Tribolium castaneum: one gene and its partner. The protein of the gene in region 2 purifies or fractionates together with the protein of the main gene of each other region. This does not show direct contact. Links are inferred from orthologs where the notes say so. Each region holds a gene or a part of one and is shown on either strand. Other genes may lie near its edges. The genes, in order: EMC5 and Flo2.

Evidence for each region.
Region 1: the proteins of Flo2 (region 2) and EMC5 purify together in Homo sapiens (affinity purification with mass spectrometry; 3 studies listed by BioGRID and IntAct, with this or other methods). This does not show direct contact. The link is inferred for Tribolium castaneum from reciprocal best matches to the Homo sapiens genes FLOT2 and MMGT1.

What each region holds. Positions count from the first base shown.
Region 1 is NC_087398.1:4,374,848-4,377,798, reverse strand, and holds EMC5 (ER membrane protein complex subunit 5), read left to right. Parts: upstream 1-1,502; 5' UTR 1,503-1,639; coding exon 1,640-1,721; intron 1,722-1,766; coding exon 1,767-1,819; intron 1,820-1,870; coding exon 1,871-2,077; 3' UTR 2,078-2,165; downstream 2,166-2,951. Other genes in the region: Serinc (probable serine incorporator), read right to left, coding at 34-234, 284-467, 517-811, 860-1,212, 1,261-1,296; mitochondrial uncoupling protein Bmcp, read right to left, coding at 2,178-2,384, 2,438-2,498, 2,550-2,668, 2,724-2,951. UniProt on the Homo sapiens protein: Part of the endoplasmic reticulum membrane protein complex (EMC) that enables the energy-independent insertion into endoplasmic reticulum membranes of newly synthesized membrane proteins.
Region 2 is NC_087401.1:11,751,394-11,755,228, reverse strand, and holds part of Flo2 (flotillin-2), read right to left. Parts: intron 1,321-3,835; coding exon 1,024-1,320; intron 711-1,023; exon of another isoform or gene 573-710; coding exon of another isoform or gene 557-572; intron 1-556. UniProt on the Homo sapiens protein: May act as a scaffolding protein within caveolar membranes, functionally participating in formation of caveolae or caveolae-like vesicles. May be involved in epidermal cell adhesion and epidermal structure and function.

The DNA of each region.
Region 1 (2,951 bases), on a different chromosome or scaffold from region 2:
AAAAAGAAAATTTTTTGTTAGTTCCTAACTTACCGGCTCCGTTGTCTTTAACCAGCATATTCTCTGACATTGTAATTTTTGACGATTGGCTGGCAGAACGTAGAGAGGAATACAATACGCAACACATCCAAACGATCAAACCGACGATTCCCTCACCATCAAAAGTCATCTCATTGTCTTTTTTCGTACTACCAGCACCCACAATACCCAAAAGACCAGGATTGCAACTAGATTCTAACCCAAAAAAAATATTTTTCAAGTATAAAAAAAACAATTCAATTACCTGGCGAATTTGCAACTGCTGACCAAGTCAAATAAGTTACATAAAGCGAGACAACTGACGACTGGAGAAGACCTGACCGTGGCAACTTATCCTGAACCGCCGGCAAAATCGATATCGCACTTACAATAACCGACAAAATCAAATTGAAGGAAATAAAGAATTTGTTCAGGTCACAACCATCAGACTGGAAAAATTAACAGTTCTCGTGTCCAGTGCGTGGTCGAAATACTTACTTTTGTGAAAAACACAAACAGGAGAACGATTCCAGTGATGGTCAAGGCGTAATTAAGGAACGTGATCGCAAGGAGGGCAAAGTACCACCCCTTGGATTCGGTCTCCTCGTAATTACCGACCCAAGCCTCGGCCCACGAATGCGCAAAATCAATAATCAAAATCAACTGAATCAAAATAAACAGAAAGCCCCCAATCATCCCAAAATACATCCAAGTCTCCCCAAACGACCCTTCGGGGATGAAAAACGCCCCGATTATCCCACCAATGACCAGCAAATACTTCAGCCCCCAAAAACTAAAACCAAGATTCACCACCGGCCGTGAAACAACTCCCGGGACTTACCCGTTCTGGATGCCACTTCTCGGGTCGCGGGACGACTTCACCCGAATCATCATGACGGCCATTAGGACAAAGAAACAAGTTAAAACGAAACAAATTCGGTAAACTGCAAGATAGCCCACGGCATGGTCGCAATTAATCGAGACGGAATTCGGGAGATAGTTGTTCGTGCTGTTTGTACAAAACGGCACTTTTCGCAGGAGGTCCTGCAAACCGGGGGCTAGCATAATGCAGGCGGTTATAGTCCCCAGGAGCAGCATCAGAGCGTACATGATCCGGGACGACGTCGAGTTGCGACAAGAGGGACATGCTGAGCAGCATAGGGAGCAAGCAGTGCTCCCGCAGCAGCAGGCCAGCTACAATCGATCAGTAGGGGGGCACTTCATAAAACAGCAGAGACATACCTGGGCAGCTGAGCACAGGCCTAAGACAGCCCCCATGATGCACCAACTGAATTAAACTGCGATCTTTAACTGTTTTGGCAAATTAAGTGCGTTCTTTGTTTTTCTTCACTTTGACGTTTGAGTGACTTGGGGGATTAGACCACGCGCTAAATTTAAAGTTTTGGCCGTAAAGTGTGCCAAACGGCTCGATTATCAAATTTATGAATTATGCATCAACTACAATACGAAAATTTTGACTAAAACGATAGTTTTTCGTGCCCAAATGTTAAATATAACGTCAAGTTATCAATAATTCACGATAGCAGTGCCAACGTAACAAGGTGTAAAAAACCTAGTCAAGTCTTGACCATTTTATTCAATAAAAATTAAATAATTAAAAATGCCAGCGACCTTTTTGCACCGTTTTGTTCTAAGTATTGGGTTTTTATCACTGTTCCACTCGGCGTATTCGGCAGCCCAACGTGAGTATTTTAACAAAATCGACGTAACCTCAAACTGTTTTTTAGATCGTTCGTATTTGCGTTTAAATGAGCTGGATTTTACGCACTTGCCGCTTGATGTACGTAATTAACGTGTTTCAGACAATATTGTTACATTGCGCAACTTTCAGATTATAATCCAGGCTTTAATTAGCCTTTTTGTTATCATGTACGGAGTAATGAACGTTGCGGGCGATTTCAAGGAAATAAAAGCCTCAGCCGAGCTGGAAAACAAGTCTTGGGAGACATTCCGCAACATTCCTTCGTTTTACACATTCAGTCATCGCGGCAAGTTCCTCGCGTTTCCGCATCAGACAGGGAATAAAAAACACAACTGATTGCAATTATTTATTCGAAATACTTTTGTAGCGTGCATTTGTACAGTTAAAAATAAATAATGCCCTTAGTCTTAATACTTAAAAGAAATGCTGATTTGTTTCAATACAATTTCTTCAACTGCTCGTAAGTTATGAAGAAGATTATATTCCAAGGCCCCATCCTAAACAACGTTGGGACGAATCCTTTGTAAAATGCCCAAAAACCTTCGTTTTTGAATGTCTGGTAGAAACAATTAGCAGTGCTTGTATAAATATGGGCGGGTAAGAGACCACCTGTTTTTAATTTTCTTTGGTTCATTAACCTGGTCTGGAAATTGGCAAAAATTAGCCAAAAACTCATTTAACGTGACAAAGACTTACTCTCACTACATCTATAGGAGTTGAAGCTATCGCGCTTCCTAAACTGGCGAAAAGACTAGAACTGAAACATTTTCTTGTAATTATTGCAATCAAGCTAAAAATTTCCACTTACACAAAATGATTTGCAATATTATCACCGAATGTGTTAATTAGCCGACTTTTGCAAAAGTCGTATACTGGCAACTCAACTGCGGCAATCACTGCAGCTCTTTGAGCGGTGGGACTGACCCCCTTAAAAAAATTATTAAAATACAAGGTACAGAAACAGAAAATTTCGGAAACTCACTTTCCACAACCCTGAGATTCCTTCGTGAGTGTAAACGTCCTTGAAGCAGTCAATCAGGCCCACATTGGCTTGAATCCCCTGCACTTGCATCCGAACTTTGATAACATCAGTAGGGGTGGCGATGGCGCTCGACACCGCCCCCGCTATCACAGCACAGCACAAATTAACAGTGACACTCTCCCTGCCATTATACTCAACAATAATCTGCTTAAGAGAGTAGTAAGTACC
Region 2 (3,835 bases):
ACACTTCAGTTAAGTAACCGTCTAAAAATTAAAATTGCATAATCTCAAATTTTCATAATTATTATTTATATTTGCGAATAGTTGTAGTTTATAAGCAAAAAAAATAGAGAAATAATAAATAAGGCTGCAGGCCATAAAAGCGTCCATACGCCCTTAATACATAAATACCTATAATCAGCCCGACAAGCCGTAAATTACTATACTTCATACCGTTACAAAAGTAAAAAAGTGGAAACTTTTAAATTCTAGAGTTCAATCCTTCGCAAATTAGATATTACGGTAAAATCAGTCAATTCACCAACGTTATCAAACGCACATTTTTGGCTTCTTAGGCGTAAACGTGAACTCGTTAGGTCGTGCCCAACTTGTTTAGTTGGAATTTGCGCCAATTGTGTCAGGTTTTGCAATTGAAAACATGACAAAAAGAAAATTATTGTCCATAATAGACACTTTATTACACTTAAACTGGTGAAAGCAAAAAAAATTAAACTAGATTGTACGTAAATGTGGACGAAGGCCAAACAAAGAAATTGTCAATAAACTAATTGAAACGAACCCTTTAACAACCGCATAGGTGAGTCCAACGGTCATGGAAACGTTAAAAGCACCCATCCATACCATCGACATGGCACTTGCAAAATTCAAAGTTTGCAAAAGAATCAGTAGAACTGTCACAGGATAAACTTATTAAGTTTTATATTAGCTCCCCACTATCGTCAAAATTGGAAGATTTAGAGTCAAGGATTTACAAGACGTAACGACTAACTGCATAATAATAATGCGACAATTATTGTTAATAATAAAAGATGCAGTTAAATAAACAACTGCACATTTCTTCACGTAATTAAACGAAAATCTGGTCGAAAAATTGTCAGAAATATCAGAGAATCGAGTGGGCCTTGGTCAAGTTCAGCCGCGACGTAATCGCTTTTCCTTGGTTTCGTTCATTGACCAATTGAGATCAATGGAATTTTTATCGTTTTTTAACAAATGTGTTTATCTCGGTTTTTCGAGAACACTTGCCTAAAATGGCACGCAAGTGCCCTTCCAGCGTCTGGAGAATCGTCGCTTTGATCTCCTTGACTGATTTCCCGAGAAACTGCTCCGAAGCGGTGTAGAGGAGTTCATCAGCTTTCATTATCTTGCACTGGGCCACTCCTGTGACCGTTAGGGGAACCCCCTGAGCAGTTTCCACGTTTCCGCACATGGGATTTAACGTCATCACTTCGAGGGACAGACGCTGGACGTCCGTCACCAACCACCAGGCCCATGCCCAGCCGCCTACGATCGTCACGCGCTTGGTCGAACCGCAGCATCCTCCTGCAAAAATTTAATATTGTCATTGTTGGCATATTGTGGGACTTGTGGAATTATTAGAGCGGAAGCAATGAAAGGGTTGGCCTCGATTTTGATAGTATTATTTTATGTTTATCGTGACTCTGTTAATAGAAAAAATAAAGTATGTATACCGGGACATGTGTATTTTTCATTCCGAAACCCACTTGCACCAATAAATCTGGTCACAGCTTGTGATACATTCCCACAATTTTACAAAATTAATTACTGATTTAATTAAATTAGGGATTTCGGTCATTTTCAAGTGGAGATATTCATAAAAAGTAGAACATGCTTATACTTGTAATTTATTAATTATATTAAGTTTTCATCGATATTCAAAAATTGTAACTAAATGAATTAAAATGAAGCCAGACAGCGAAACCTGAGTAAATAGTTGGAGTTGCAGATTCGTCTACAAAGATAAAAAAATTTCTGTTGAAAAAAATACTCAAAACATTTATCAGTCTTAGACTTTGAAAAATAGGTCAATAACTCTTGAGAACTATCGGTGTTAGCTAATAATGCTTACGACCTTTCGTTGAAAAAACACTTCAAAACGCCGTTGTTTTTTTTTCTTAGTCGAAATTTTGCCGAAAAATAGCAAAATTATGTCGAAAATGGTGTTATTTTTGCTTCTTTTAACCGCTTAAGCGAGATTTTGTGAAAACGGAACGAAAAGTTACTAAATTAACATGAGTTAAAAATTTCAATATTTTTTATTGACACAAAAACACTTCAAAACGCCGTTTTTTTTCTTGATCAAAGTTTTGTCGAAATTTTGCTTCTTTTAAAGGCTTAAGGGAGATTTTGTGAAAACGGAAAGATTAACTATTAAACATGAATTAAAAATTTTAATATTTTTTATTTTGAAAAAACTCGCCGTTTTTTTTCTTAACCAAAATTTTGCCAAAAATAGCATAATTATGTCGAAAATAGTGTTATTTTTCCTTGTTTTTACGACTTAAGTCAGACTTTGTCAAAACGGAACAAAAAGTTACTAAACATGAGTTAAAAATTTCAATATTTTTTCCATTTTTAAACGCTTTGTTTCATTAGAAATGCGTCTATTTTGAGGAACTTCATTGAAAATAAGCCCAGAGGTCAATAGATTTTTGTGCAACAAAATAGGAATAGTGAATTTTTTTCCTTTCTAGACGTGAAAATTTTTGTGAAAGCAAAACTAAGTTAATTTTCCCACTCAAATAAATATTTAAAACTTACAAAATCTCCTACCGAATTTTATAAAATGTTATATTTCAAGCGGCTTACTTTGTTTTATAAAGTTGAAATTATTTCGCAAAATTTTTCAAAAATCACTGAATTAGTTCAAAAAGTAAATTGTTTTGATTTTTGGGATATTTTAGCCCATTTTCATTAAATTACGCAGTTATTTAGTAAGATTTTAAAAACAATAAACCAAAATTTTTTAAAATTATTCAAAAATGATGCAATTTTTATATTTTCGACCTTTTATCTAGATAAAATCGCAATTTTTTGCACAATTTCGTTTTTTTTCTTGGTCGAAATTCTGTCGAAATTTTACCGAAAAATAGCATAATTATGTCAAAAATGGTGTTATTTTCGCTTCTTTTAACCGCTTAAGCGAGATTTTGTCAAAACGGAACGAAAAGTTACTAAACATGAGTTAAAAATTTCAATATTTTTTTCCTTTTTTAACCTTTGTTTTCATTAGAAATGCGTCTATTTTGAGGAATTTCGTTGAAAATAAGCCTAGAGGTCAATAGTGTTTTGTGCAACAAAATAAGAATAGTGAATTTTTTCTATTCTAGACGTGAAATTTTTTTGTGGAGGCAAAGCTAAGTTAATTTCCACACTAAAAATAAATATTTAAAATTTACATAATTTCCCACCGAATTTTTTTTTATAGAGACGCAATTATTTCGCAAAATTTCTCAAAAATCAACCAAAAAAATCATTAAATTGGATCGAAAACTAAATTCTTTTGGTTTTTTGGTATATTTTAGCCCATTTTCATTAGAAAAAACGCAGATGTTTAATAAAATTTTATAAATAATTAACCGGAAATTTTTAAAATCATTCAAAAATAAAGTAATTTTTATAGTTTCGGCCTTTTATTGAGATAAAATCGCAAATTTTTTTGCAGAATTTCGTTGAAATGGCCTTAAAAATCAATAAATTATTATTATTATTATTAAATTTTTAATTTTATATATTATAATATTACTATAATAATTTATATATTTATTTATATTATTAAATTATTATTAATATTAATTATTATAAATTATGTTTTTCATTCAAAATTCAATTATTTAGAATTAAGCGAAATTTCGCCAAAAATTACTTAAAAAATCATAGAACTGGATCAAGAATTGTGTTTTTTTTGACTTTTTTAAAATTAAAAGTTAAAGTTTTTGCGGAAGTGTGAAAAATCACAAAACTGTTTGAAAGCGGCATTATTTCGCGGCGTTGAAGATTTTTGAAAGTTTTTTTTCCGAAAACGCAACTTTTTGCA